Linked DNA regions of Solanum lycopersicum. The main gene of each other region encodes a partner of the protein of the gene in region 5 in a complex. Links are inferred from orthologs where the notes say so. Each region holds a gene or a part of one and is shown on either strand. Other genes may lie near its edges.

Region 1 (3,408 bases), on a different chromosome or scaffold from region 5:
TTGTGACCACAAATTCATAGGTAAACCCAGCAACCTAATCCATACCCAATCTCTCCTTACCTCTGCCGGCCAGCAGCCTGTCGTTCGTTTCTACCATTCAAGCCCCACTTCATCTTCCTCCACACCCACTTACCTGTTAAGACATGCTCTGCTACCACTTTGTATTGCAATTCAAACATGAAATACCCATCATGCATGGCATACACTTTGACTTGTATCACCAACTTCCACGAATTACAAGCCGATCTTCTTACATCGTTCAAACTAGGGGTTTCGTCTGCTTGGCATTGAAATTTTCCTATGATGCACCTATTCAAGAGATCATTGAATGGTTGCGATTCACCACCTGTGATTCTTACTTTGTTCGCTGTACTCTGTATTTCGGCCTTATCTGTTGCCTCCGTCATCCATCTATCTTGGAAGAGGACTTCTTTTTAAGACTTGTGAAGCTGTTTTCTGTCCTTCACTGCTGTTCCCTGTGTTTTGATTGGCTCATAAATGAACCCAACAATCTTGTGAGCTATATTCCCCCAGCCTTTTTTGGGTGTGGACTCCGGAGTTATTATGACAGACTTGTTTTGACCTTGTAATGCTATAAAGCTGATGTATCTTCCACTTGCATTGTATTTAAGAGTGCAATAAAATTCTGCAAAGTGGTCTTTCATGTTCCACCTCTTTACTGTCCTTCCGTGTGTCTTTAAAGCCTCAATAAATACTGCAACTAACCATTTCAGGACTTTAATGCTAACTTTCACTCCTCTCATTAATTTTCTTTTACGCTCCACCCATTCAAACCATTTTCCACCCTCGTCTTTGCATCTCGTAATGTCGTAGGACTCGAACCCTGCATTGTAATAGATGATATCCTCCCCTATTGGGTGTGGTCCGGAGCCTTGCCGGATCCACCCATCTGAAACCTTGAGTTTGAATAATTTAAGCTAAAAGCTGACAGATCTCAATTAAAGTGCCTGGTATGTATTTGACAGTTTATTGAATTTATTAAATTGACACTAGTATAATTAAAATCTGTGTGAACACTTCATATTTTTTTCATAAGTTATCCATATAATAGCAAAGCTCTTCTATTTTATGTAAATATAATATGATATATGCGAGAAATAAAGGAAAAGAATATTATTGAATTGTTGTTTCTAGATTATTACAGAGACACCCTATGTATAGACACTTCAATAGACACCTTTTCCATCTAGGACACTACAATACAATCCTTTTCTAAGTTGGACACTACATACTAAGGATTGTATGTACCTATTACTATCCTAACAATATTTCTAGTCGAACTATATTTCTAAGGTCTTAGATGTAGTCAAAGCACCCAAGCTAGGTTAACCATATCTAGTGTGGATCCCATAGCCACACCCAAATCGTGTAGTTTCGACACGGGCACGATGATGATTTTGATAGATTTAAGAAGCATAGGTTTTAATTATTTCGGGCGTAACTGACACTCCAATCCATTACTAAGCATCATTCTAGGGGGACCTTAATTTAGTCTCTTCCTAATCTTTCATTAAATATTACCCCTAAAGCAGTTCAAGGTTTTGTTCCTTGAACAATCATCTCAATGAAAAAAAAATGCTCGAACAAACATCCGCTTCTCGCCTCAAGTTACCTGCATTTGAGCGCAAATGTGATCGCATCATTGGACCCAACTTATGTTGACATACTGAAGTGCATTAACCCTCACCTTACTTCAGTCGTTTTAAGCGAAAAGTGATTGTGTTTCATAACACTGCATTTGAGGTAGCTATATTATTGCATCATGCTTTTCTTTCAACAGTATTCTTTTTCCTTTTCTACTTACAATTTAGCTGCTATTTGCCTTTCTTAACATTGTCTTTTGCTTCATGGAATTTCGGTCCACTGATTTTATCGTTGGTCTTTTAGGTAATATTGTCGCACTGCTACATGCTTTCTTCTGTAACCTCCCACAAGAATGGCTCGAGGGAACTCATCTTATCATTAAGCACCTTAGGCCTGTGACATCTGTTGCAGTATTAAGAATATCATTTCGCATTATGGGTCCCTTGCTTCCGAGGTTGGTAAACGCTCATACCCTTTTCAGTAAGGTACAACTTCTTTCGAGTTTATGTTCATTTTACTCTTAATGTAGGATCAGTAGGGGGTTAAGGGGATTTGAATTTTGATTTACAGTATTCCAAGAAACCTAGATTATTTTCTCATCTTTTCTTAATTTCATAGGCTGAGATATTATATGCTCATGTTTGACCGTTCTCCTGCATAATAGTCCTTGTTTTGCCATGTAAAAAGAAAACATGAAAGAGCTAACTTAGTTACCAAGTATGAAGTATAAAATTCCACAATCCCTTGCCTACCCTTGTCCCCTGTCCATCCCTTCACCCGGATAATTACCTCTTAAACATCTCTGGAAGCAAACAAAAATAGATGGAAGGTGCTGGTGTTGTCTTCCCTTTCACCTCATACTCACGTGGGTTATACAAGCCTAGCTTACATTCCAACATATCAAACTGATTATGCCCATTTTAAGCACCGTGCTGCCTATATTTTATCTTAAGATGAATTAGCCACCACACCTGCTTTAGTCTCAAATATGGTACAAAGAAGTTGCTGAGTGGTGCAACAAAAATTGCTCTCAAAGGCACTTCGGTATAAGAAAGAAGTGATTTATAGTGTTAGCATTTTCAGAATTGTTAAAAATTAGGAAATTATTATTGTGGGAAGTCCCCATTCATTACATATATCGGAATGATTTAGAGTTCTTAAGTTGGGGTTTGGCTGTGTAACAAATGGTTTTTACTTTATTTGTAGTTTTTGCAGTTGGAGTTGTGTTTGGGCACACGTTTTACAAAGAATATTTAGAATTCATGTACCTTTTCTAGATATGGTTTATACTCCCCAATTTCTACAAACTAGAAAAATCACCCAACTTGACTAATTATCCTAAAACATACCTTCAAATCTGCTCTAAAAGAGTAATATCTCAAAATAGATAGTCACATAATGTCATAGATTAGATCCATACACGAGCTACTACATGCTATTACGAATATTTTTGACTTTATTTGGGATTTTAAAGTCGAGTTGAAGATGGATTTGTGTGATTATAATGTTTGTAAATAATATTTCGTTGTTTGAATGTTCTTTTCCTAAAAAGACATGAAATTGTATTTGGAATTTTCATGGACAAACATTGATTTTGAAAAAAATGAAATAATTCTTCAGGAAAAAAAGGGTAAAATTCTAAGTCCAAATGCTTCCTAAAATTTTGTCATTAGAGAAAGAATTACTTTACTTTTCAGGATTACTTTTATAAATTTATTAAACCCCAGCATGCTTCTGGGAATTATCAAGAAATTCATCATTTTCATTGCCAACATCTTTTCTTTTCTCATTGTTTAACATATA
Region 2 (5,011 bases), on a different chromosome or scaffold from region 5:
AAGGAGAGAAAGGCAAAAGAGACTTGGGCAGGGAATATACAATTGAATCGAATTGTATAAAACGAGAAAGAGAAAAATTATATACAATTTGAATTGTATAAAACGAGAAAGAGAGAAAGGCAAAAGAAACTGGGCAAGGGAGTTTTTTTATTGTATAATTGTAAGTGTATATGACGAAAATATGTGTATTTGCATGTTTATATACAATTTTCTCTCGCTTTATATAAACGGAAACACAATTTATACATTTCATTTCTGTTTGTATAAGCGAGAGAGGCGAGGGTGGCGAGTGAGATCTGGGAGAGGGGAGAGAGGGGAACAAAAATATATGTATTTATACAATTTCCTCTCACTTTATACAAATAGAAACATATTTTATACACTTGTTTTTGTATAAAAGTGAGAGGAAGAGAGCGAGAGAGGAGAGTGGCGAACAAGAGTTTGAGGGAGAGAAGTGACTGACAAACAATTTGCTACGGGACACAATTAAATCAAAGGGTGGTTATAACAATTAATTTGATTTATTAGTTTGCCATTATATACAACTTTCCCTAAAATTTATAATCACATCATTAAAATTTATTATTCTCACCGACATAAACTTTATTATTTTCGCTAACATATAGTCACTTTAACTCACACTTCACGTTTGTTGAGTAATAAAATTTTGAAGAGCCTGTGAAATGTGTTTCATTTTTACACGAATATATTGATGAAACAATTACTTTAAGTGGAGAACAAATAACATTGTAATCATTTATTATACGACAGCAATACGAAATCCCATTGTTCCAACCTCCACGGATCCACTAGTCACCTCGAGGTTCACCAACGAGCAACAATGAACAACTAACCCACGTTGCTCTTTCATTTTCTCCAATTCTAGCAAATTCTTGAGCTCGAAATCACCAAAAACCAACCACAAAGTCACCAAGGACCCATTTCTCAACCATTTCCAACTAAAACAACCATCAAAAAATGGATCTCGACTTGACCCAAAACCCATTCATTTTTTTTTCTTTTTTTTTTTGGCGAACAGCTGCATAACCCAACCTTTTCAGGCCCACAAAACCCCAAATTCATTTGCTGTATAAAAACACCAGCGAGCCATCAGAACTCACACCACTATCGATACCATTCTTCGGTGAAACACCCATCAACAGTGAGCTCACAGACAGTGGTGAGCCACCACAAAATCTGCTACCTAAGGCCGAAATCTGGCCAAACCGACACCTTTAGGTCTCCATTCGATCCAGCCATGAAATGGCAAAAATCCACCGGAGAAAGCTGCCACATCCACCATTCCTCTTGTCGGTGAGACCATAAACACTTTTCCCTCACACGACTTTGTCTCCTTGTCGCCTCCGTCCGCCGCATAGATCGTCTAAAGAAAATGAAAGAAAAAAAATGGTTGAGCATGGATAGTTATGCATGAAAAAGTAGGTGGGTGGGTGAATAAAAAGGGTTTTTTATTTTTTTTCTTTTTTTAAATTAATTGTTCTATATTTTGATAAATTTTATAATTTTTAATTATAAATATGGTGTTCAGTTGCTTTTACACGCGTGTAATCACTCTCTCTAGCCAATTCAAACATTCAAATGGCACATAAGTTTGGTCAATGGTTAGAGGGTTCATTAAATTATGTTTTATTGAATTCAGGATCTAAATAACAAAAGGATAAGTAGAACGGTTCACAATACAATAACATACAAATATAAGGGTCCACCATACCATTTCACCTTAAATTAAAAATAAAACTAATATTATGGTGTTTAGATGGAAAAAATTATTAGAATTAGTAAAACTTTAGGTATGTACATTTTGAATAATAAAATATAAACATATAAATGCGTAATGAAAATTGCGGTTGAAGAGGGTTGGCGACCATGGAAGGAGTAGTGGCAGCTCAAGATCAGCAACAGCAACAGCCACAGCCGCCCAGGGTGGTGGAGGGTCTGAACCCCGCTGTTCAACAACAACTGAATCTCGAATCCGTTAAAACTCGAGCCGTTAGTTTGTTCAAGGCTATTTCTCGCATCCTCGAAGACTTCGACGCTATCGCTCGCACCAATGCTGTCCCCAAATGGTTCTCTTTCTCTTTAGTTCATTTCTTCTATTTTAACTGTGTAGCAGCAAATACAAATACATTGGAGTAGTTAAGTTGACTAATACTAATATCTACGAGCTGTATTAGCCCCCAAAATGAAGGTGAGTGAGACTAGATGATATTATTCTATCCCGTAGTACTAAGAGTTTAGAGTAGTCTATTTTTTTGTTAATAACCCTCAATTTGTTTTACCAAGCACCTCCTCTGACCTCTCTGATTAGGATACACTATGGTTTTATTGGGTAATTTCGGCTAATACAACTATGCTACCAAATGCAGGAAGTTTACTAGTTTGTCATTTAGGGATAGTTTATTGACAACACCAAAATGCATTTTGTGGGTTCTCCAGCCAAATGAGTTTCCGGTACTGTGTCTTCACAGGCTGGGATACCCCTGCTGAACTTTTAAGGTAGCCATTTTTATTCTTTGTCAATTTAGGCTGCGAGATTTGTTGTCATTAGGTAGGTCAGGATGTTGTGATTCTGTGTATATTTGGAGATGTAATTACTGAATTAAGTATAACAAGTTTGGGAATGCATGCTACAAAATACTACTTCAACTTTGATGCCTCAATAGTGCAGTTAATATCCTTCCATGAGCCTAGACTCACCAGGCAAGATTACCTTTTGGTTAGATGAACATTGCTACATAGGACATCACATTCTCAACCACAAATCATCTTCAGACAATTCCCTGGACACATCTCGGTTAGTAGGAGGTTACACAGTCTCTTCACCAACTTTCTTATACAGTTTGGGCTTGGATCTGCATATCCTTGTCCCCAGGTTTAGAGTAGTAATAAAGATCTGTGTGAAAAGGAGAAGCGCCTTATTGATGCATGTGGATTATCACAGTTGATCTCAATATTCTCATTATCTCCCTTAACAAATGAGAGTAGACCTTCACTCTCTAGCATTTATATATTATTCAACCCCACTTATAATAAAAAATCCAACCTAAGATATACTTGCACATTCGTTTTGTAGAAGGGAATGATATATAAGAAGATCAACTTACACATTTGATATTGATTTCCTTTGGTATCTTATTGTACTGCTGATTTTTTTCTTTTTCATATTATTTTTGTAAAATGAAATCCAAATCTTCAGCGTCATATATAATACCCTTTTCACGCAAAATCTGATCTGCCTCACTCTTTTTTTTCTTTCTATAGACACCATTTAACTTATTTGGATCTCGTTGGGAATTGAGATGAAGTGTTTTACAGTTGATACTTGATGATTATTCTTAAGAGTACTGAAAAAAAATATGGTATATCTTTATGAGGAATATGTAATCAGGAATGGTTTTCCAACTCATTTCTCATATATGTTAACATTTAGTTTTAATAATTCTTTTTGCTAGGCAAGATATTTTGGGGCAATTTTCTATGGTGAATCTTGAGCTTTATAACATTGTTGAAGATATTAAGAAGGTCTCCAAGGCTTTTGTTGTTCACCCCAAGAATGTAAATGCTGAGAATGCTGCAAGTATGGACTTATTCACTCACGCTTGGTAAATTTGTGAAGTTGGACTTCTATTATCCTTTCTTAATTATACATGCTAACCACTGACATTTGTCGTTGCATATAAGCAAGTACATAGGTAGTGTATAGGAAAGTGAATCACCGAGAAGGTTGGTGTCTTAATTCTTCTCTCCTCTCGAATGCTACCTAAGGGTATATACATATTTAGTCTGGCTGTTAAGTTGCTCTTTATCTAACAGTTTCACTTCTTGCTGACTTGCTGAGGTTAGCTTGATATACATGTATGCATAACTAGATAGCACGACAGTCAGTCACTATTGCTAGCAATTCTATTTCCATGTGGTGAAATTGTTTGAGCATAATCAATCAATCAATCAACCACACCCAATATCAAATTAGTTTTTTTTTTTTTTATGAAGTAAGTTGTTTCATTACCGGCATCAAGAAGATGCTAAGAGTACAAAAGTAGATATGCTAGTTCCGTTACATGATAGCAGTTAAGACACGGGAGCCATCCACCAATTCAAAAAATCTAGAGAAGGCTTAAAACATGACTATGTCTGGCCTAGAGTTAAAGAGCTAATAAAATCTAAGAAAGTAGTGTAACTATTCACATAAGACGGGTTGGACCAACAAAAAAGAATGAACAAACATTTAGCTTTGAGTGAGTGATTAAGAGTTGAAATTCCATCAAAACACCGTTGATTCCTTTCTGTCCATAGGCACCAAAAAATACATGCTGGAATCATTCTCCAGGTGTTCCTGATGGCCCCATCAACTATCAAATGGTCCCAACTCACAACAACTTCTCTGATAGTTTGAGGCATCACCCAGTTCAAACTGAATAGGGAAAGGAACACATGCCATATGCCTGCATCCACCGCACAACGCAAGAAAAGATGATTTACTGATTCTGCACTTTCCTGAATTTCTTTTCCAAATTTCTGATAAGGTTAATGAAAGAAATAAGCATGTATTTTTTGGGCTGTGGAGTATATTTGTGTTGACAGAAAATCCGAAAGATGCTTTCTGTCTATGTTGCTCAGACTCTCAGTGGGTGTGTATCGGATTTTCCAAAAGTATTGTATTTTTGAAGAATTTGACACGGGTGCGGCATCAAAAGTGAAGAGTCCGCGCAGCTTAGCTTTCTGTTAGTTGTTACTTACAAATACTTTTCGATGCAGTTCTACCTGTTATGCTGTCATCAAAGCTGCTGCCAGAGATGGAAGTCGAAGATAATGCCAAAAGGGAGCAATTATTACACAGCATGCAACACCTATCGGTAGCATCCCAAATTGAGAAGTTGAAGGTGGAAAGCTCTGCAGATGCTATTTCTTCTGTTTCTGTATCCTTGTGGCTTTCTAATATACCTATAACACACAGGTTAGAATTGATATGATTGGAGCAGCATGTGAA
Region 3 (3,709 bases), on a different chromosome or scaffold from region 5:
AGTCTTCTGTGAATACTTCTCTCTTTCTACTTTTCTTTGTAGTTGTTTCGTCCTCCCAGAAACTTAGGTTTCTATCTCTTCTAATGCATTTTCCTCTTTGGTTGTCCACGATCCACTTTCTTGTTTTTATTGTTTCACAATTATTTTGACATGAATACTATAGTTCTCCAGATGTGTACTGGTTTTTTGGTTTTGGGCTTTTGGCTTCCATTTTAGGATTTTAATTTTTTTTGAAACAATTACCATGTTTTTATTTGGTCAACTGATAGTTTCCCTGTTTATTATTAAACATACAAGAACTGACTTACAAAGTTGAAATCTTTCCAATCTACATAGTCGAAGACACCTTGGCTTTATTTTTGCACAGCAGTTTTCCAACTTTTGAAGATAATCTTCCACAAAGAGCAATTGGATGGGGTGAAAAGGCTTGATAGAAAAAGGATGGAGTGGAAAGGATAATTGTATATGGCACGTTCTCTTCCCTTTATGGAAGAAGTTGGCTGTATAGGTTAACGGCAATATATTTATCAAACTACTGAAGTAGAAGCTACATATTTTGTGTCTTAACATAAAAGACTTTCCTGAATCTGAAAGCATTGGAACTTCAAAGTCATTATTCCCATCCCCCATCCCCCATTCCTACCTTTTCTTGATAGAAGAGGGAAATCCACTACCTGTCACTTAAACTATATATATGCACTTAACAGACTTTGCTGTGCTTGCATGTCAAGATGGATAGATCACATCGAAACCCCTAAAGTCTGAAAAAAAATGATGACAGAAAATATTGAGTGATGGTTTCTTATATCCAATTGTCCTACAAAATTTTTCTGTTGAATATATTCCTCCTTCAATGTGGAAAAGGAGGTTATAATCACACGTACATCCTCTTAGTGTGTCGCTGTATAATTTTGTGAAATATGGAATAGCTGTAGAGACTCTTCTCTTTTTTTCAATTTGTGGGTCCTTTGTTCATACAATACAATTGGACAAAAAAGGAATGCAAAAAATACCAAGTGATTGTTTGTTGTATCCTGTTGTCCTACAGCATATGAGTGATGAACAGTCTCCTTCTTTAGAGTGGAAAAGGAGGCTACAGTTACTCAGACAACCTCTTTACATGTTGCTATAATTATCTATATGGAATAGCTGTAAAAATCCTTTGCCCCCTCATTCTGGGGGTATATTGTCCGAGCTGTACAGTTGGACAAAAAATACAGAGTGATTGTTTGCTGTATCAAGTTGTCCTATAAAGTTGAGTGATGAACGGTCTCCTTCTTCAAAGTGGAAAAGGAGGCTACAATCATTCGTACGTCCTCTTAGCTTGAGGTTCTGGTTCATTTTTGCTTTCCTTCGCTACTTTATGTACTTGTTCCTTGTTTTATGGGGTTCTTGGTAGGATTTTAATTCTGAAGCACGATAGTAGATATCACTTGCATGTTTAAAGCTAGGTGATGTCAAAATGAGTTTGTTGAGGTGACCGTTGAGACTTTGGAAATATGATGTGATGAATTGTTGTTATTGAACCGTCTTTTATGGTTACTGGTTGAGGTGGACTCTCACTCAGTTCTTTTTTCCAAAAATGAAAACAGCACCTCATCCACGGAGCATAATTGCCAATAATAAAACCTCCCAAGGTTCAGACTTGCATAAATGCAGCAATCAACACTATCATCACACACGTCGGCGGTACAAGGAGCTTCAGCTGCGGAGTCCAATGAGATGAGTGGAGATGCGCCGCCAAAGCAGGTGGCAATGGCACTGGAGCGACTGGGGCAGGCGAGTCGACTCATAGCTGATATTAGAATTGGCGCAGATCGGCTGTTGGAAGCCCTATTTGTGTCAGCTCAGCGGCAACACTCTTCTAAACCTTTGCATCTTATCCACAAAGAAGAAGCTTCCATGAGACAACACCTTCAAGAGCTTCGCTCTGTTGGAAGACAGTTAGAAGATTCTGGTGTCCTCAATGATTCCCTCCGATCACGAAGTAATTCATGGGGCCTCCACATGCCTTTGGTTTGTCCTGATGGTGCTGTTGTTGCATATGCATGGAAGAGACAACTTGCTGGTCAGGCTGGTGCATCTGCAGTTGATAGGACCAGGTTAGCTCTCAAGGCCTTCAATGGTCAGAAAAGACGATTTTTCCCCCACCTTGATACCAATTATGGTGGGGAGGGTGTGACAAAGAAACTTCGTGGTCCTCCATCAAGTGATCAAGAAGAAACTTGTGAACTGAAATCAGTGTCTGAAGTTTTGACACATCTGAAAAAGGAGGTCTCAAATGTAATAACATTCTCTTACCGGCGTTTGGATTGGTTGTTGCGAGCTACCTCATTGCCCTCTTCGACCAGTGAAAATTCTATTGAATTATCAAAAGAGAGTACTTTCCAAAGCACGAGAACATTAAGACAAGGATCATCTGATGATGATGTTTCAGACAAGGTTGCTATAATCGAATTGTTGATTCCTTCTGTTTTTAGAGCCATAGCATCAGTTTCCCCTGCTGGTTCCTTGGATCCCGACGCTGTAGCATTCTTCTCGCCAAACGAGGGTGGTAGCTACATTCATGCGAGGGGATTCTCCGTTCATCATGTATTTAGGCACATCACGGAGCATGCTGCTATGGCTTTACAGCATTTTACAGGTGTTGGTACTGAGTCACCCTTGCTTTCTTTGCTGCTGTGGGTTTGCAGCTATCAGACTTTGTTCTCGAAAGCTTGCAGCAAGTGTAGCCGTCTACTATCAATGGACAAAGAGTCTGCCATGCTACTGCCCCCTGTTAATCGCCCTTACCGAAACTTTTCTGCTGGAAAATTCTTGTCAAAAGAGGAGCCAAGTGTGGATTCTAGTCAGTGTTTTCACATCGACTGCTTTTCTGAGGAAGCATAGAAAAATCAGCTCCATTGTACAAAGAAATTCCGAACCTATAATGTAGTATGTGGCCTGAGAGTGGTTGGTTAACGAAGTTTCTTTGGATTGTATTTGTTACACCAAACTTTAGATTAGTTACGTTTAACTTTCTTTTTGAGGTCTTTAAAATCCTACTAAATCAATGACAATTTTATACAAGTGATCTTTTCTGAAGTCACTAACGAAGGTTAGTTAACAGAGAGTCATTTATTTTGTTGTTTTATTTCCAAAAGATCGAAACAAACTTTTTTTGGGGTATGATTAATTTATTTATGCTCTGCTTTAATTCATGCAATCTAAAGCTGTTGGTTTTTTTAGCCTTTCTAGATTGGTCTAATCATTAATGGAATTTAAAATAGGAGAATTTGAATAACAATTAACAAGTCTTATTTTCCTCTGTTTGATATGCCTTTACATCTTTTTCAATTATAATGCTAATGGACATACAGTAAATATTCGATAAATTAATAATCTCTATAAAATAATGTTTTTCTCTTGTCTCGACTTAGATCAATGGATTGAAATCATCAATTTCGATAAGATAATGAAATAATATATTTCTAGAAGACCTTTATATAAATATGTGGTTCCATTAATATCATAAATTAATAATTCTTTACAAGATCAAATACATCTAAGAAAATTTAGTGAAATATGATTTTATTGTGTTCTGTTTTTTCTTAAAATTTAAATCTAGTTGAAGCTCATCTTTAAATTTTCTTATTGCATCCAAGAGCTCTGGTATTGTCTTTTCGAGCTGCATCATAAAATTATAAAGAGTTTTAGATGCGATAAATGC
Region 4 (4,228 bases), about 28 Mb from region 5:
TTTTTGCTTTTGTTGAATTCAGTGATATGCATATAGTTGAGAGGGGTAATAATTTTGAATTCAGCTGGCTCTTTCGCTTTTTTTTTTCCTCTAATGCTTTGTTAACTCTGGTATAGTTATCTTGGTGAGGTAAAAGATAGCTCAGGCCTTTAATGCTTCGAAGTCTTTTTCTGTGAGAACTATTTTGAGTGCACTGTTTTGAGTTTTCCTAAGGCACCTTACAGTTTGATTTGCTTGAACCATAACATAATATTAGTGAATTGCTAATGGTTGCTCTGATGTTTGGGGCTGAGGATAGAACTTATTCTGATGCATAACCAATTACTTTAACTTTTGAAAGAAACAATTGTTTTAGACTTTGCGCAGAACCAGCAAAATCATATTTGAGGTTGTAAGACCACAATTTTGAACTTATAGTTTATACTGAGGATATGTCTATACCCTTGAATAGTGTGATAATATGCAAGTTATATACTACAATGAGAAACTGGGTTGGTATTTATTCAATTTTTTGAACTGCTGTTCTTTTCAAGAACTCTGATTATTTTGCTATAATTTTTCGTCATCCCGATCGAATTCATGTTTTCCCATATCTTGTTTTCTTTTAGAAACTACCTACAAGAAGCTCTACATTTCTGTATGATGTTAATGAAGTACTCCTGATAATTTGTAATGAAAATGTTGCAGGGAAACTTATCTGGTCAGAGACAGGGGCAGCCTGTATTTATTACCAGATTGGAGGTATGCTTATAACTTGTCTTATTGGAACTTCTAGTGATTACAAGTTCTTTTGTGTTTTTTGATCTTTTTCTAATGGTTATCATTAAGTGATAGTGTCTTAAAGAAGGCAATCCAGCTTTTGTGTTGAGACATGAAGTATTGCCTACTTATCTCTTCATGTTGTAAAATGGTTTGCTGGATCTCTACTAACTGTACAAAATCTTGTGATCCAATTTCTTGTGGCAGGGGTATAGGAGTGCCTCAGCTTCTGAATCGTAAGTTTTCATTTTTATAAATGCTTGATTTAGTGATTTCACAATGTCACTTACAATAAACAATCCTACTATGTTGTTTTTTGTGTTTGAGTTATCGCACTGTTTTGTTGTTGTCTTGCTTCCTTCTGGTAGACTCGCACTGTTTCCTTGTTACTCGCTATATTTTCTTCACTGTCTCCTTCTTTGTACTTGGATTTTCTGCACTTGACCCGGGGTTTTTTCGGAAACATCCTCTCTAGCTCCTCGAGGTAGTGGTACAGTTTGCGTACATTCTACCTTCCCCTGACCCCACTTGTCGGATTTCAATGGGTCTGCTGTTATTGTTGCAACGTTCCCATTCCTTGTTGGATTGTGAAGGGACTATATATTTGTCTTCCATAAGTTGTACGGATATTTGGTAGTTGTATTTTATAGTGTAAGTTTAGCTATGCTACTGTCTTTTCCATCTTCGAATTGCAAGATCTTTTATTTTACACCTAAAGAACTCTGTTGTCATGATGCACTGATCTCTCAAATTTAGCAAGATCAGTAAATGGTAGAGACACCAAGGAATTCCTGATTTAGTCTTAGAAACTTGTTTCTTGAGGGATTCATCTTTTATAAAATTCTTTTTTTCTACAACTGAGACATTATTCTATAACCCATTTCCCTTTACAATTTTTTCTCAATCTTGTCAAGAGAAATATTCCATGATGTAACATCAAGAATCTTTGATCTCTTTGAGTGGTATTCCTTATATTAGTATTGGTTACAAGTAATATGATATTTATAATCCATCGACAGGATGGGTTTCATTTGGTTCTCTTTGGGATGATAAATGACCTACTTAACTCAGTGGTTAGAGTACTGCTTTCATACGGTGGGAGTCATTGGTTCAAATCCAATAGTATGTAAAACTAATTAGATACCAGAGTCAATGGTATCTAATAAGGTTTACAACCCACCTTTAGTGATTTTTTTTTTTTTGATTTTGTATCTTTTCTATTTCATTTTTTAATTTGAATTTTTGCATCAGAATTGGATTCTGTTTGATTGTATTCACCCGACAGAATCTAAATAGGATTAGAAAGAGAACTTCTTTTTATTATTCGAACGTACCAACTAGTTATGAAATCGGATTGCTAGCCTACTTCTTCAAATTCAATCCTTCAACACCCACTTGCTCCAAACTAGCTCACATGTTGTCATAGATATTGCTTGATATTATGTTCTGGACTAGAATGAGAAACGACACTCTATTTCTTGCTTTAACAACGCACTAAAAATTGCTGGCTTCTAAAATACAATTACCAAACATAGAATGTCTATCAGAAGGTGACCCTACCAATCAACATTGGTGTATCCAATGATCTGCTTATGGATTTGAGCCTCGAGTGTCAATGGGTCGTAGCATAAGCTTAACATTCAGTTCCATAGGAGTGCCTTTGGATTTACAGCCCATCTTATCTCTTCAAGAATCTCAGAAGCATATTTTTGTTAAGAAATAGGAATAAAATACCCTTTCAGGAAGACCCAATTGATTGGGCTTTGGACTTCCATGTTGGAGGTTTCAGCTTCGAAACCCCTTGCTAGCAAAAAAAGATGTTTGCCTTCTTGGTCGAGCTCGTCTCACCGGGTTTGCCTAATGCAGGTAACTTCTCCTGCGTGGTTCGTAAGCTATTGCATAGAAGTGAGGGATTTTACCCAGTGCGCATCCAAAGGGTAGCGGTTGCGGGTTTCTCATCATTAAAAAAGGAAAACAATACCTAGAAAGTAACTTCATTCTACCCAAATTATTTTTCTGAAAGTGCCAAAAGATATGTTGTTTAGACTAGTGATACCATCACAATCATTGTCAATAATAACTATATTGTCACCATAAACCACTAAATAAATACACAAACTTGAAGTTGAATGTTGATAAAACACAACTATCAGCTTCACTACCAGTCATGCTGAATTCCTAAATAACTATGTTGCACTTACTAAATCAGGCTTGAGGAGATTGTTTCAAACCATAGAGTGACCAGTACGATCGACATACACTACCACTAGACATCCCCTCAGCAACAAAACATAGTGGTTGCTGTATATAAACTTCATCATCAATGTCGTCATAGAGAAAAACATTCTTAATGTTCAATTCATAAATTGGACAATGGCGAACAACAATCATGGATAGAAAGAGGTGGACATATGCTATTTTAGCCACATGAGGGAAAGTACCACCACAATTAAGCCACATATCTGATGATATCCTTTGGCAAGAAGGCGGGACTTAGCTGATCAATTTGGCCGTCTGGACCAACTTTGACTACATAAACCCAACGATAGCCAACAATAGATTTCCTGAAGGATGAAGGGCAAGTTCCCAAATACCACTTGCGTGTAAAGTGGACATCTCCTCAATCACTGTGTGCAACCATACTGGATGAGAAATTGCTTCCCTGGTAGACTTAAGAATGGAAGTAAGTAGCAGACAAATAGAGTTCTTTTCAGATGTACTCTAGCGTTGGATAGGCAGGTGAGATCTAGCCAATCTTGAAGTGTTTGAAAAATAGGATTAAGCGATGACAAATTTTTGGGGTGTGCTGGCAGCATTAGTTGGATGCTTGTGATTCCTTTGATGAAAGTTGTACTTCTCCGGATTGCATTATATTGAATTGATGTGTGGAAGGAATCTAATTCTCTAGGGTAACTAATAAATTTGTGGAAGGAATCTAACTCATATTTTAGTTTTCAGCTATAATTGTTTAGTCGATGTAGAAGTTCTTAAACCAAATGTGATTCTTTGTTCGATTTGTGGTAGCTACATAGGAATGATATACAGGATGCTCTTATGTATTTGAAGCAAATGATGTCATTTCTGGAAAATTATCTTTTTGTTTTTCTGTTATGCATCTTTAGTCTTCTTTTCACTTCCATAATGCAGTGTTTTTTTAACTGTATTAACACTTGGAATTGATTTGTCCTTTGTGTTTTTGTCAGGCTTGCTGCAAATTGGCCTCCAACAATGCAAATTGTTCGCCTTATTTCCCAAGATCACATGAATAACAAGTAATTCATTTTAGATCAATTAATTTTTTGCTTGGTGGATCTTTTTCATGTTAGAAACATTTTCTTATTATTCGTCCACAGTGCAATTACTGCTTTATGAAAATTACATCTTTGTTTTGGATCAGACAATATGTTGGGAAGGCAGATTTTCTAGTTTTTCGGGCAATGAACCAGCATGGGTTCCTTAGTCAGCTGCA
Region 5 (4,657 bases):
AAAACTCATCAAATAAAAATGACACGTAATCATGACAAGCTGGAATTTTTATATAATAGGTGACGTGGCAATTGGCAAATTGCCATAATACCAACCACTACTATAAACACATCATCAAAATATTAAACTTGTATATTTTGTTATTTTGTTTTTATACTATACTTCTTTTAGTAGCCTAAGGGCACTAAAATAATTAAGAATTACTAGCAATAATGTCTTTTTGATTCATTGAGGAGGTGTATCAACTTCGATCGATGACGAATTTAGAATTTAATTATTATAAACTATAAGTTGAGAGAAGGAGATTTAAATTGTATATTTAATTATATTTATAGTTGAAATTAATTAAACATATCAATGATTTAAATTTAATTGCTTCAAACTTTTAGATTTTTTTAAATAAAAAATTTATTGTTCTTTTGTATTATGAAATTATATAAATATGAAATTAATTGATTTTCTTAGTTAAATTTTACATGTATATTAATGCATCGTCAAAAACAGAATTGAAATAAATCTATTGTCAAAGAATTGCATATGCTACTACAATGTTCAAAATCAAATCATTAAGTTTTATTGAATCTATGAACTCGTGATTAGACCGATCTGTTACTGTAAAAATAATCCTTAGCCGCCAAGAAAATAATGAAACTAAGATGTTTATTGTAATGTATATAAGTAAAATTTATTCACCAATCATATTTATTTGAGTTAATATATGTAATAATATTTTTAACTGTGTTATTTTCAGTATGAAAGTTATGCATGAATATAAGACGCATAACTTTTCTGTAGACCTAGTTACTATCGAAACTACAAGACGATTTGCTAACTATCGAACCTTTTTGAATATTTAATTGCATGATTTTCTTTTCAGATAGGTTGATCTTCAAATTTTACCTTTAATAATTGATAATTGCACGATTTTTCTTTTAAATAGGTTGATCTTTAATAATCAAACTTATACCTAGCGGTACATAAGTTCTTTAAGGGCACACGTGCTATAACTTATGAGATATTATGATTAAAAAAAATCTAAACTTACGTCCCACCAAAAAAGTTATTGATTTATCATAAGAGACAAAAATTGAAATCAAGTACAAATACGATAAAAGCGCAAATAACTCATTTTTTGACGAAAAAATTACATGAATTAATACATTTTAAAATATAATTACTGATTTTAGCTATATTTTTTGTTTATTACCATTTATAGCAATACTGTAATAAGTCTGTAATATGTATTAAAAGTGAATTATGTATGCAATATATATGAATTCTAATTGTTTTTGAAATATATTATGTTTGTTTGGTAAAAAATTGTCGCATTGTACTATAAGTGTATTAAAATGTGTTATAAGTGTATTATCTATCATTAAAACTTGTATTACATGTGAATAATAAATTGTTCTGTGTAATATGTATTAAACTTGTATTATAAATGAATTAAAAGTGATCAAGCGAGTACATTTACGTAAGTTTCCCTTTTTTGACCCACCAAACCAAACATGAAAGGGCCATAGTGTGGTTCGTAATAGGCCCATGATTTAAGCCCAGATCTTAATAGGCCCATACATTAAGCGAACCAAACCCCAATTATTTTCGACGGGTATTTTCCCCGATTTAGGGCACAATTCGGGATTTCTCCGACACTTCTTCCCGGAAAATCTCCCTGAAAAATGAACGGCAATCTGGAGATTTCCGTCGACAAGCTTCCGATCAAGCGTTTAGAGTATATTGAAGAACAAGGCGCTGAACGCTTCCCTTCGTACACTTTCTTTCTCTCTCTATATAAAAATGTAGAATTTCATGCATAATCAGTTTGTGAGCTGGATATTTACATTTAGATTTTTCGTAATTGTTGCAGTGATATAGGATACGATGAGAAAACGGTGAATTTGATTAGGAGAATTGATTTTGCGTGGGCAGTGGAAAGAGAAGAGCCAAGTAAGAAGCAGAAGAAAAGCAGTAGTGCTACTTCTTCAAAGGAGACAAGTAGCAGTCAGCCATGGCAATGGCAGAGTTTGGTGGAGAATTTGCGATTGGCTCATCAAGAGCTTCAAGTCATTATCGATCTCATTCACACTGTAAGTGTTAACATTAGAATTTTGGCTTATAATTTTAATGATTGAACTTAATGTCTATATAGTTTTGATAGAAAATAGTTCAAATTAAGTTTTAATTGTTCTGATATTTACATCTGGTCTGGTGTTTGTGTGGTGTCTGGTCAAAGACTAATGTGTGATAATTGTGAGATTTTGAGAATAATGAAGTTGAATAGAGAAAAAAGAATGGTGAGCAGGTTATAGGTTTGGGATTTTATTCTTTTTGAGTTGATGATTTCTAAATTAGTAATTTGTACTTAGTAAATGGATTGCATATGATACCTACAAAGTGGGCTAAAACTACTAGGTTCTGCTGAACCTGCTTCCCACACTCTAGCTCCGCCTTAATACGGAGGTTTAGTCAATGCCAACTAGTGTGCGATTGAGGTGTCGGTTGATTGATTGATTATTTGTTGGTACATGTTTAGTATGTCTTGTGCCTAGCTGGTTGTGTTCCATGCACTTACCATAAGAGGAAAACTTTGTGTTTTAGCCTGATAATGTGCTTGAAAGTGGAATACATTTGTCTTATGCTGTACTCATTATTGGCCAATTGAGTTTTTGTGGCATGCAGTTTTAGACTGAATGATACAGAGTAGTGTTTGCATCATGGATAAATGTTAATAAAATTTCATCTATGAGAATAGAGCACACTGGTTTTATTCCAATGTTGAGGTTTATCACGAGAGTGGGTTGGAACATTTTTATTTAGTTATCAATATTAGTAAGGTATGAATCTAATTCAGAAAATACAATAGAGAACTGTAAAATACACACATGTATGATCGTGAATGTACTTGAAAAGTGGTTAGAGAAAGAAGATCAAGACATCTTATTTACAACAGAGGAATTATTAACTACCTCTAAGTTGTTCCAGTAGGGAATTTCATGTGTGCGTGATAAAGAAAGGCCTTTTGGAAGGTGTAAAGTTGGATACACCACATATTGGATTTTTGAATTGAATCAACGTGGCTTTTCTAAATTGCAATAGCTACACGAGTATCAAGCTACTAAGCCACACTATGGAAGTCTGGGAAAGGGTGGTCGAGATGAGGATGAAGAGGGGTGTGTCAGAACCAATTCAGCTTGAAGCCATGAAAGGAGATTGTTTGAGCAGTATAGGGAGAAGGAGAGGGACTTGTACATGGTGTTCATTGACCTAGAAAAGGCATATGATAATGTCCCTAGCATATCATTTACTCCTCATTATCAGTATGATAGAGACAACTAAGGATTAAAAAATTTGACTTAAGCTTTCGGCATTAGTTATTTAAGTGGCATGAGATTCGTCAGTCCATTTGCTCCTTCAATCCCTTTTTGCCCCTTCTCCCTGGCATTTAAGACAGCACCTTTCTTAGGCATAAGATGAATAAATTAGCAGGAACTGTGGATTATGTATTGCATTGTTGACTCTGCTGTTCTGCATACAGGTGGAGGCAAACGATGCAGTGACAGTGGCTGGCATGACCAGGCCAAAGCAATTGCCCAACGAGCATCTGTCAGACCTTGCCGTGTCTATGGCAACCAAGCTGCAATGCTTCCGTGTATTTTACTTTATCCCTTCTGCAAGATGTTATGGTTGATGTATAAGTTTGAGTTAAACAAATAATCCACTGATTATCTTTAAGTCTAATGGTTTGTTGACAAAGTATAGTTATGCACTTCATTAGCAAAGCTGTATGTGTTTCGTAATTTGGCTTTTCTTTTGCAGCATTTGGGGAAATATTTTAAGCAATCTGCCAAAGCTTTGGAACAACAAGTGGCTAGAGAAGCAAGATTTTATGGTGCTCTTATCAGGTTTGTTCTTTGTGGCTACGAACAGTATTAGTACATTGTGAAAGATATGTGTGCAGTCATTTAGACTACCATGTCTTTGTGCCTTTCCTCAAAATTTTGGCTATTTCCTGATGAGCTGATAGATTGCAGCAAAATTGGAAGGTTAAATGGCATCGGATGGTTGCTGCTGCTTCTGGAAATGAAGGGTTTTACATTGATTTATTTGACACTTCATTATATGATCCAGCGGTTGCATTTCGCCCATCTTCTGCATCTGTGGTGCGTATTGAGCATGACCCAGCTGGGATGCTGGCTGTGAATTTACCGCCAAATTCCTGCCGGACTCTTCAATTTGAGTTTCTCGGTGCAAGTACACCTGCTGGTGTTATAAAACATAGCAGACTGAGACCAAAGGTGTCTTTTGAGGATTCTTCTGGAGAAACTAAGAGAGAAAAAAGTGATGATGAGCATGTGAGAGAAACTCATTCGACACTCCGTGAAGTTCACCGAGCAATCTTTGATGAGCAGGTATATTTCTAGGTTCCCTCCTTTCTCTTTTTAGTACCCTTTGAGTTTTTCTTATTCATTTTTGTGACCTACTTCTGTTTTCTGATTATTTTCTTGGTCCTTGTTGCAGGTGTTTGATTTGGTTAACCGTGAAGCATTTAATCCAGCTTTGGGTGCTGACGTGACAGGAATACAAGAAAACTTGTTACGTTTAAGTATAGGTCAAAGAGCTTCTCTGTCCATTTCACTTGTACCATCTGCTGACGATG
Region 6 (4,977 bases), on a different chromosome or scaffold from region 5:
GAAGTTCTCGATGTACGTGATATGTAACATAGATCACTCCCGGATGCCCTCAAAGTCCATATATGGAAAGATCAACTCTCCAGGCTACTTAAATTACTTTAAATGCTTAGACTATTTCTAGTCAAGTATTAAACTGAACAATCAGCTATCCAGGTGCCTGACTAGAGCCCGGGTAGCACCGTTACTTCAATTATTTGCTTCACTTTGATGTAATTAGATTTAAATACAATCAGTCAGTTAAGAAGGCAATGCATTACTTTATCATAACCTTGGCCCAAAACATTTTATGTTCTCAGTACAGTCAGAGCAGTCATTTGTGGCGAGCGCCATAGTGATTACAACAGTAACATCAATAAAAATTTCTCATGAGCACTTTATTCTCATGTATTACAACAAACTACAAATTGACTGCATCCAGAACACTGCATAGTTGTTTCACTTGCATCTAGTAAAATCAAAATGACAGGTGATTCAACTCAACTTCTTTTGGGCAGGCCAAAAACAACTTGCAGCGCATAATTTTACCTTGGTTAAAATGCGAGTATGAGCTATAGTTCAGAGTTAATAATCTCCTCAACTGAGCCTTTGTACCTCGAAATAAGATCCCTGTAATTAAGCATGAAACATGACCATCAGATGAAGCAAATAATAATTATACAAATTTCAGTAGACAATATTAGAAACACACACACACACACATATATATATGTGTGTGTGTGTGTGTTTTATATATATATAATACAAACCTTCGCTGATTTAGCATTTGTTCGCACTCTGCCTTTTTGCGCTTTTGTCCCTCAACTGTCTGTCCAAAGAACACAGGACTGGTCAATTATCTTACCCATATTTAAGCATCAAAACATGCAACCAAATAAGAATTTGTGGAGCAACTTTGTTCAAGTCAACATCGTTTCAAACATATTGAACCCCACTTTTCAGTAAAATTCTTCACAACTATAAGTTGAACAAACAGGCCCAAATGGAAAAGCACAATTAAAAGCAATAACACTGCCAAAAGAAAAACAATCCAACTCTTCCAGAAAAGAATAATTTTGAAGTTCTGTTTTCATATTATTGCGCTTAACTCTTTGTTGGAGTCTCTCTCTTTTTTCTTTTTATTTTTTGAGTTGGGGGTGTGTTCAGAACAAGTTACAACAGAAATCAAAGGATATGTGTGAAAATGAAATACCATAGATCTTGAGCTAATAGACCCTGATATTGATGTCAACAGCTGCTGGCACTTCTCAAACTGATTTTTCAATTCAGTTACCTGGTGAGGAAAAATACACCCGGTTTAATGTAGAAGAAATGGAAAACTAACATATAATGCATCAATCAAGAAATGAACAAACCAATGCATCTGAGTGCTGATCTCGATTTCCATTTTCAATTGTATCAGCTAAATTCTCCACCAGCTGTAAGATGACAATAAAAGTTAGAACAAAAGGTCTCACTAGGAAAGAGAAATGTCTCGTTACTCTATTAAAATAGCAAGCTACAGATCATGGTTTTTGCCCAATACTTGTAAAAGATGGAAGTGAGAGGCAAGTGATTGGTGGTGCTGTTGTTGTTGTTGCTGCTGCTGCTGTTGTTGTTGTTGCTGCATTTGCTGCTGCTGTTGTTGTTGTTGCTGCATTTGCTGCTGCTGCATCTGTTGCTGCTGCTGCATTTGTTGCTGTTGCATCTGTTGTTGATACCGTTGTTGTTGTTGCTGCTGCTGCTGCTGTTGTTGCTGATAGAGCTGCGGTTGAATGAACTGTTGTTGTTGAAATTGCTGTTGCTGAAGAAATAAATTGTCTTGATTGGAGGGTGTCGAAGGATTACTGTGAGTTTGGATGTTGGGGATCATTGTCCAACTTCCTCCTCCAAAGTGGTCCATAACTAATGGCTGTTGAGCTGAAATCTGTTGGTACTTTGGTTCTAAAATGGATAAAATTAATGTCATCAGATGTAATCAAGTACTACACAAATAGCCAAAACTATCAAAGCATGAACTGGCCTAATGGACTGAGTAGCAAAGAGAAATAATTCCTAAGATTCTGAAATGTACAAACCACTTCAAAAATATATTTCCCATCATTCCTAAATGACATTTCATCCACATCTTATTACAAGAATAGTTCTTTTGTACCAAAGAGAACAAAGCCATCAAGTGAGACCCTCTAAAACTGAAGCCCATCCCTCGTAACAAACAGTAAACTCTTCTTTGAAATTTAACAAACAGTAAACTCTTATCTCCAAGTAAAAACTACCATGACATCTGTATAAATTTGGTGTTCACATTGTTAAATCAATAGGTACATCGGAAAAAATTACTGCTGCAACTATGTCTTTTTGATAAGGTTAAAAATTATCCTTGAATGGGCATCGGGTAGATGCCAGATTACAAAATATGCGACCGCTTAGCTCTAATTCGGAAGGGCATAAAAAAAATCTCAGCACTCATACAAGTATCCTAAACTAAAGCTAAGGAGCTAGCAATCCCAAGCAAACCAAAAGGGTAGATAGTTATTAGTATGCACTAAAAAAGTTTACAAAACCTAAAACTGTAAAATTAGATAGTTATTAAAGTGAGAAATGAATCAATCCCAACTGCACCTCTTACTCTTTATCTCTAATTTAGCTCAGTAATCAAGAAGTATGCCTCAATCCCGAATTAGTTTGGGTTTACTATATGAATTCTCTCCATTAGAACCCCATCTATTCCAATATTCAATAATTTAGGTTTTCATAACCCTAGAGGTTCCCTATTACTAACATACAAATATCTCTCTATCTATGAAATTAACAGTTTTAGGTCAAAATCACAACCTCAAAATTTCCAACAAAAAAGAACTCTAAATCTTCTGAACAGAATCTTCGTTTGCTATAACACTGACAACCAAACCCTTGATTTAAGCCGCCACAAGAGAATGAATTCACAACTATACGAAGCTAAACTTTACTGAAACCACAACTAGTACAGTTAATAACAAAGCAGAAGTACGATGAGAATTACAAAACGAGAAAGATTACCGGAGATGAAAAGGCCCGATCCGGTTAAACCCCAACGGAAAATCCTCTGTTTTTTCAAATAGCAAAATTGAAATTACTCCCGCTGTCCCAATTTGTGGGGAGGTTTCGATTTCAAGAGCAAACAAGCTAATTTAGAAATTTTAACATTTTCTATAGTATAAAATTTAGTATGTATTAAAAAAAAATAGATAATTTTTAATAATTAAAATACTAATTCAAAATACATAAAACTCACTTTTCATTAACCGATTTGATTTATATATGAACTAATATTTTAACAAACTGAAATAGATTGAACTAATAAAAAAGTAGATCACTAGTGCATTCAAATTTGAATGAATTGTATTTAAATTAAGAGGAAACAACACAAAACACACATTTACATTTGTGTTATTTATCGGTTGAAACTATACTTTCTAATTATATTTTCTCTTAGAACTTTACAAAATAGATACATATGAGTCAAAATTAGATATAATTTATTCTATACACTTGATATCTAAGCATGTTTCACATGTATTCAAAAGTCATTATAAAGAGATTGATAAATAAGTACAGTCAAATAGAAAAACTTGCATATGATGTTCATTGATTGGAAAGTTTTTTAGACAGAGTCTTGAAGGAGGTTTTTTGGAGATGTTTGGAAATTGGAGGTATGTAGAAGTCTGATATCAAAACGGACACTTTTTAAACCCTAAACACTAAAAGGGACCCTCTATAAAACACACACCAAATTTTTTTGGAGGTCCCTTTGGGTGTTTAGGGTTCATAAAATGTATGTATTAATGCCAGACTCTATGACGTATATTTAGAAGATCAAGGACATGTATGAAGGAGTCAAGACCTAGAAGAAAAAAAAGCACTTTTCCACTATGAAGAGGTTGCACCAGACATCAACTTTTAGATCAAAATCATTTATCTTGATGATGAATGAATTAACGCGATATATCCAAGAAAGTGTATGATGAGTATGTTACTCGCCAAATAGTGGCGGAGCCAGAAATTTCGCCGAGGTTGTTCAAACTTTAAAAGAGTCGATAATTTTTTTAGCGAAGTGGGTACACAAAATTTATTTTTGCAAATGTGTGAGAAATTAAATTACACATCACTTAGTAACTAAATCTTGCGGAAATTTAAAATGATAAAACTATCGATGGAATAAATCAAAACTAATGGACAAAAGTCACAAAATAATTTTTGCTTGAAATATACTCCCTCTAGTTCATATGAAATAAATTGTCGAGTGTTTTTTGTAATTTAAATAACTGAATAGTTCAAATATCGAATAATGTATGATGAGCTTGAGTCGAGTCACAAAAAGGGCTATGATGAGCCTTTTGAGAGTGACTTTCACGATTATGATGAGTTTTTTTCTCCTATTTTCAAATTCTTAACTATTTTACTTTTTCTAAATAGAAAGATACTTTAGAAATACTCAAAAGTATAATAATAAATAATAATCTTTAATTTTTTCTTTAAAATAAAATCTTGAGAATGTGTATACCTAATAAGTCACTTAATACAGATCTCTTACACATAATTGAAAAGAGAGTGTGTTTTATGTTTTAAAAAACATGTTGCAACTGAGGACCTCTTGCACGTAAATGAACATGCTTACCAGCAGACCAATAGACTTTGTCATAGGTGTTCAATTAATTATATATCGCAATATTATATAGCATTTTATTTATATATAGGGTATAATTTGGCCAAAAACATTTTTTAACTATACCCGAAATCTAAACTACATCCTTAAATTATTATTTTTAGCATAAAACATCATTTATCTATACCCCAAATTTAAGCTACATTCTTAAAGTATCATTTTTAGCAGAAAACATCCTTTAAGTATTTGTAAGTGAACAACTTTCATCCTTTTGTTAGATATTGTCAAAAACTAAGGGATCTTACAAAAACATGAGCAGTTAACGCGACTATCAACAAAAGTTATTATGTATAATT
Region 7 (5,020 bases), on a different chromosome or scaffold from region 5:
TTTTTGCAACACTAATGCAAATGTTGGCAACAATGCTCCCTGTACTACTACCAGTTAAGTAATACAAAGTAAACCTTCAGAACTCCAAAAATAGGTGTTGTATCACTTAACTGTTAAATGAGGATAATTTAAAACTTACTTGTTGGGTATTTTGTTGCAGTAACACATGTCAACTTATATTGGTCCAACATAAGTTTTTTATAAGATTTGTTGAGTTGGATTTATTTCCTATTATCCTAACGAGTTCCCGATAGGCTGGTACTAATCGTTTTAATATCAAAGTGAACTTAAATTGGTGGGAATGCTTTTTATGCCCTTCAACAGAGAGCTGAACTTCCCTAGATTTAATGGAAGAATAAATTTTCAGATATTTGTTCATCTGGATTACAGTGTTCCTTCCTAAGTTGTCCTCCTTGACTCTTCACTTTTATAAGCTATAACTTAACAGTTGTGCAAATTTTACTCTCTTGTTTGATGTTCACTTTCGTTGTCATGTTTTGTCTTGACATAATTCAAGCTGATGCCTGCTTGATGATTACATCAAACTTTAGTTAACAAGTATTGTGTTGTCATCTTGTTTGCAGAAGGGTTCCAAGGTTCAGACGGTCCATCCGCTACAGGCCATACTAGTGAATTTTAAGCTGGATTGCAGCCTTCCCTAGAGAAGCATGGAGCTCGCTTTGTGAAAAGGGCATCTCCTTGTTTTACTCTCTTTGGTTGAGGGCAAAGGATGTTCTAATTCAAATAAGTCATTAGCTGACATAAATTTCAACTCTGTGGATGATGTTTTAGGTTCTGGGGATTGAGAATTTTTTTCTTTGCTAGCTTGCTCAGATGCTTGCATTTTGGGCAGCAAATGGAAAAGACAAATAAAATAGACAGTTTGTTGGAGATGGTCTGAATTATGTATGGTTGTGGTTTGGTCACTCTTAAGCTCCCCTCTCCTAAACCTCCTTATCCCCAACTTCAAATCCTAATAGCTACATGCAATAAGACCAATGGTGTTTAATTTTATTAAAGGACTATTTATTACTCCATGTTAGGGTAGATACAAAATGCTTTGGTATAGACAGAGATGAAGATTTTGTAGTGTATGGTAAAGCGTCTTGTTAATAGGAAAAAGCATGGACATACCAATTGAAGTAGTCCAAATTGGTAATTGTATAAAGGGTAAACAAATCTAAAATTTGGTTGGAAACATTGGTCATCGAAATATGATTTCGTAGTTGTAGGTCCAAAACCCCCAATTTCCATGCTCATTTTAGGCATGGTATTATGCACCTCTCTTTCATGACACATATATTCAGTTGTGGCCCGTAGACATGTTTCTTTGAGAAATAACCGAAACAGAGTCAACTTGAATTCAAGCTTATAAATATCAAAAGTGATATAAGATTTTTATTCCAAACCAAAATCATGAAGGTTGCATCCAAAATCGCCCTTTTTTTTTTAACCCCTTGGACTAAAATCACAATTTTCACATTTATATAACTACGAATTTAAGCTTAAAAATTCATGCATACTAATAAAAAACTGGTCAAAACTTAGATATAAAGCGCGCAAGCGAGACTCAAAAACGTGTTGAGGGCTTCGCGTCGCTTTATGTGCACTTTAGTGTCTTCACCAATGTTCTAAGGCAAACGTCACCTTACCAATGAGCCTCTTATGAGACAGTGAAGTTAAATCACTGATATTTCACTTTGTCATAATTATTTTCAATTTCTTTGATCATATATTTGACATATTCATGTTTATAGTTATTAGTTTTGGACTAAACATGCATACTTATACTCTTTTCCTCCCTTTGCGTCTTTTTTCATCAAAGCTTACATTTTATTTGCGCTTAAATTCCCCATGGATCGTAAGAGCTTTTTTGCGCTTTTCATCTTTAGTAACACTGGTATAATCACATATGAGAATTATGACTTCACTTAAAAAAAAGATTTCTAACCATTTCAATCTGATCGACTGTATAATCTAGGTGAGTAAATGAATCTAATGACACACTCATATTGAGCAAATAAAAATTAGGATCAAAATCAAATACAAGATGTCATTTTAACACTGAAATTTTATTTCAATATGAATTTAATCCATTTTTACATTACATCTTAAAAATGCAATGAATTTCAGACTTTCCTTTTGTATATATAGCGCAGCAATACAATCAACGGCTAACTTTGAAAAGTAGAATTAGTTAGGGTTTAGCGCATGGCTTCTACATCGAATCCAGAAACCCATGAATCACCGTAAGCAGAATCAATTCATCTCAAATCAATTTGCATCTTCGCAAATTCACATTAATCAACTGTTTTTTCTGTTCCAATTTGCAGGCAGAAAAGCGTCTATAAAGATCCCGATGATGGGCGCCAACGTTTCTTACTCGAACTCGAATTTGTTCAATGCCTTGCTAACCCAACTTACATTCACTGTATCTATCTATCTATTCCCTTCTCTTATTTAAACATGATGTTTTCTGGGTATTTACCAATTATTGTTAGTTTTATGTTATATATGTTGTTGGTGTGAAAATGAATATTGGGTTGCAAAAGCTTCAATTTTTCTATCCCTTTTTCATTTTTTGTTTTGTTTTGTGGACTTTGTATTGATTCTGATGCAGATTTGGCTCAGAACAGATATTTTGAAGATGAAGCTTTTATTGGGTACTTGAAGTACCTTCAGTACTGGCAACGACCTGAGTACATAAAGTTTATAATGTAAGTTAGTTTATAGTATTAATATGTGATAATAGTTATGTATGTTCTTTCTACTGCAACTTTTTAGATGCAGTGGATGATGGTCCTTGTTCCTTTTCTGTTTCCTGTGGACTATGGATATCGTTAACTAATCGTATTGGTTTTCCTTTCTTGATGTTAATGCAGGTATCCACACTGCCTATTCTTTCTCGAGCTTCTCCAAAATCCAACATTTCGTAATGCAATGGCTCATCCTGCTAACAAGGTAAAAAGTTATGTCATGTGTTGTCCTGGTTTCCTTCTCCACTTTTGCTATACTCTTTAGTTAGTTAAGACTGTCAGCCACTATAAAGAAGGTTCACCCCACTTTCTGTAAACACAGTTTCTATGGACTAAAAATGCTGCCAAAACACTTTATAATACATGGTACTTCATTGTCTTAGCCATTAGCCTTATTTCCATTTCTGAACTTTCCCGTAGTTTCTAGGCATAAAACTTATAATTATTTAATCGTGTTGTCGAGGTTAATTCTCGCCCCGAGGACATCTCATCTCATTTCACTGTTTATTATTTATTGCACTTTGTTTGCCAACCTAAAGTTCTGGCACATAAATCTGTGATAGGATCTGATCTACATGTTTGTAACAACTATTAGGAAGTAGCACATAGGCAGCAATTTTACTTCTGGAAGAACTACAGAAATAACCGGTTGAAACATATTTTGCCGCGGCCGCTTCCTGAGCCTGCAACTGCACCAAGTTCTGCTCCACCTGCATCACTACCATCAAGTGTAGCCCCTCCAACTGCTCCACCTCCTGCTCCTACACCTGTTACAGCTGCAGCTCTTTCCCCGATGCAGTATGCCATCCCTCCTGGATCTGGTCTTGCTAAAACGGACCCAAGGAATGCTTCTGTTGATCGAAGAAAGAGAAAGTATTTCCTCTCCTCTTTTACTTTTCTCTTACTGTGAAAACTTTGTCAATGCTTGTTGTTGCATGCTCCCTCTTGTTATGATTTTATATTTTAGGGTTAGATTTGTGACGTAATGTTTCTGAAATGGTTATTGACTTGGATAATTTTGTTTTAGCAGGAAAGACGGATAATTTTATTTTACTCATAGCACAGACCTCCTATCAACTAATTTATGAATTAAGGTAATACATTTTGCACCCCATGATTTCATTTTTCGAATAGGTGTTGCAGTTCCTCATTGGCAAACACATTAATGAAATCCTATTAAGAGTGTGATTTGTTGTTTATTGAATTTTAGAGTCCTTCCCAAGTCTCAAGCATGATCAATGACCTGTACTTTCTTTCTCATGTCAGAAAACATAGTGCTAAAGTTTTGCGAGAGATCAACTACACATTTGTTGGGTTCACTAGGATCAAATTTCTTTAAGAAATAAATGTAGAACTAATTTTATTCCCAAACCAAGTAACCAAAACAGAAAGGAAGCAGCCTGCCTTTGAACTCTTTTGGGATGCCCTCGTTTGTGGTTTCAATTGCTTAATTTTTTAGGCTTAGCTCAGACATCTGGTGATAGGTGACTGGAAGATTGCCAATGCACACTTATAGCAGTAATGGGTTATCAATGGAGTGAAGAATTCGAATCACCATATTGACATGTGAACTTCAGATTTTGATGATAAATGAAGGAGCAACTTCTCTAGTGTGGTCTAAGTATATGAACCTTTGCCTATAATCTATGGTAAATGGGAGGAGTATTTATGGTCTTTGATGCACTTCACTTGGGCAAGGTTACGGTCCCTCTCCTCGGCTAGCCTGTACGAATTCCTATAATCACCTTTGCCTTTGTAGTTATTCTTTCCCCTTCGACTGTTCCAATTCCGTGTCCTCAAAGTTGCAGGTACTGACTCTCAAGGGCCTACTGTCTTTCCAGAAAACTAACAAAAGAGGAACTTTATCCATTTGGCTTGAATTGGGTGGTGTGACACTTAAGAATCGGTACAACCTAGATCTATAGACCTGAAATTAAGTGCAGCACACAAAATTATATTAGCTGTATCACTTTCATTAACGGAATTCCAAGGATTTCATGTTATCACTCATCTCTTTTCTCGTTTTGGTCAAGTGAAGTGCTTCCCCATATATATTTATGAGTTTCAGTTTGAAACTATGCCGTGTGTCCTTTTCTCGACAAGATGTACTCTTTCCTATTTACTTAACACATAGTTCTCCAATGTAAAATCAAGTATTGTGCTTATACTTTATTCTGGTTGGTCAAATTGACCTAATTGCGACTTTGTGACGACTCATTAAACTTATATATGCTTAAGCGGAAAATTGGGTAATACTCCTATTG

What was found.
Region 1: mediator of RNA polymerase II transcription subunit 17 (region 5) and mediator of RNA polymerase II transcription subunit 23 share a complex: the UniProt entries of both Arabidopsis thaliana proteins name them as parts of the mediator complex. The link is inferred for Solanum lycopersicum from reciprocal best matches to the Arabidopsis thaliana genes AT5G20170 and AT1G23230.
Region 2: mediator of RNA polymerase II transcription subunit 17 (region 5) and mediator of RNA polymerase II transcription subunit 8 share a complex: the UniProt entries of both Arabidopsis thaliana proteins name them as parts of the mediator complex. The link is inferred for Solanum lycopersicum from reciprocal best matches to the Arabidopsis thaliana genes AT5G20170 and MED8.
Region 3: mediator of RNA polymerase II transcription subunit 17 (region 5) and mediator of RNA polymerase II transcription subunit 27 share a complex: the UniProt entries of both Arabidopsis thaliana proteins name them as parts of the mediator complex. The link is inferred for Solanum lycopersicum from reciprocal best matches to the Arabidopsis thaliana genes AT5G20170 and AT3G09180.
Region 4: mediator of RNA polymerase II transcription subunit 17 (region 5) and mediator of RNA polymerase II transcription subunit 25 share a complex: the UniProt entries of both Arabidopsis thaliana proteins name them as parts of the mediator complex. The link is inferred for Solanum lycopersicum from reciprocal best matches to the Arabidopsis thaliana genes AT5G20170 and PFT1.
Region 6: mediator of RNA polymerase II transcription subunit 17 (region 5) and mediator of RNA polymerase II transcription subunit 9 share a complex: the UniProt entries of both Arabidopsis thaliana proteins name them as parts of the mediator complex. The link is inferred for Solanum lycopersicum from reciprocal best matches to the Arabidopsis thaliana genes AT5G20170 and MED9.
Region 7: mediator of RNA polymerase II transcription subunit 17 (region 5) and mediator of RNA polymerase II transcription subunit 31 share a complex: the UniProt entries of both Arabidopsis thaliana proteins name them as parts of the mediator complex. The link is inferred for Solanum lycopersicum from reciprocal best matches to the Arabidopsis thaliana genes AT5G20170 and MED31.

What each region holds. Positions count from the first base shown.
Region 1 is NC_090804.1:17,726,120-17,729,527, reverse strand, and holds part of mediator of RNA polymerase II transcription subunit 23, read left to right. Parts: intron 1-1,908; coding exon 1,909-2,090; intron 2,091-3,408. UniProt on the Arabidopsis thaliana protein: Component of the Mediator complex, a coactivator involved in the regulated transcription of nearly all RNA polymerase II-dependent genes.
Region 2 is NC_090802.1:67,511,387-67,516,397, forward strand, and holds the start of mediator of RNA polymerase II transcription subunit 8, read left to right. Parts: upstream 1-1,797; 5' UTR 1,798-1,887; coding exon 1,888-2,087; exon of another isoform or gene 2,088-2,209; intron 2,210-2,387; exon of another isoform or gene 2,388-2,461; coding exon of another isoform or gene 2,462-2,517; intron 2,518-3,473; coding exon 3,474-3,598; coding exon of another isoform or gene 3,599-3,623; intron 3,624-4,779; coding exon 4,780-4,904; intron 4,905-4,978; coding exon 4,979-5,011. UniProt on the Arabidopsis thaliana protein: Component of the Mediator complex, a coactivator involved in the regulated transcription of nearly all RNA polymerase II-dependent genes.
Region 3 is NC_090800.1:77,932,610-77,936,318, forward strand, and holds the end of mediator of RNA polymerase II transcription subunit 27, read left to right. Parts: intron 1-1,592; 5' UTR 1,593-1,653; coding exon 1,654-2,889; 3' UTR 2,890-3,069; downstream 3,070-3,709. UniProt on the Arabidopsis thaliana protein: Component of the Mediator complex, a coactivator involved in the regulated transcription of nearly all RNA polymerase II-dependent genes.
Region 4 is NC_090811.1:29,968,236-29,972,463, reverse strand, and holds part of mediator of RNA polymerase II transcription subunit 25, read left to right. Parts: intron 1-687; coding exon 688-741; intron 742-966; coding exon 967-995; intron 996-3,962; coding exon 3,963-4,031; intron 4,032-4,156; coding exon 4,157-4,228. UniProt on the Arabidopsis thaliana protein: Component of the Mediator complex, a coactivator involved in the regulated transcription of nearly all RNA polymerase II-dependent genes.
Region 5 is NC_090811.1:1,513,520-1,518,176, forward strand, and holds the start of mediator of RNA polymerase II transcription subunit 17, read left to right. Parts: upstream 1-1,570; 5' UTR 1,571-1,679; coding exon 1,680-1,768; intron 1,769-1,867; coding exon 1,868-2,087; intron 2,088-3,535; coding exon 3,536-3,649; intron 3,650-3,816; coding exon 3,817-3,902; intron 3,903-4,024; coding exon 4,025-4,409; intron 4,410-4,518; coding exon 4,519-4,657. UniProt on the Arabidopsis thaliana protein: Component of the Mediator complex, a coactivator involved in the regulated transcription of nearly all RNA polymerase II-dependent genes.
Region 6 is NC_090801.1:55,598,475-55,603,451, reverse strand, and holds the start of mediator of RNA polymerase II transcription subunit 9, read right to left. Parts: upstream 3,337-4,977; 5' UTR 3,016-3,336; intron 1,921-3,015; 5' UTR 1,880-1,920; coding exon 1,523-1,879; intron 1,416-1,522; coding exon 1,353-1,415; intron 1,271-1,352; coding exon 1,190-1,270; intron 806-1,189; coding exon 747-805; intron 607-746; coding exon 549-606; 3' UTR 526-548; exon of another isoform or gene 238-525; intron 1-237. UniProt on the Arabidopsis thaliana protein: Component of the Mediator complex, a coactivator involved in the regulated transcription of nearly all RNA polymerase II-dependent genes.
Region 7 is NC_090802.1:52,519,478-52,524,497, reverse strand, and holds the start of mediator of RNA polymerase II transcription subunit 31, read left to right. Parts: upstream 1-2,057; 5' UTR 2,058-2,211; coding exon 2,212-2,249; intron 2,250-2,333; coding exon 2,334-2,431; intron 2,432-2,620; coding exon 2,621-2,717; intron 2,718-2,882; coding exon 2,883-2,961; intron 2,962-3,351; coding exon 3,352-3,629; intron 3,630-3,783; coding exon 3,784-3,799; 3' UTR 3,800-3,850; intron 3,851-4,022; exon of another isoform or gene 4,023-4,766; intron 4,767-5,020. Other genes in the region: polyadenylate-binding protein 1, read left to right, coding at 585-630. UniProt on the Arabidopsis thaliana protein: Component of the Mediator complex, a coactivator involved in the regulated transcription of nearly all RNA polymerase II-dependent genes.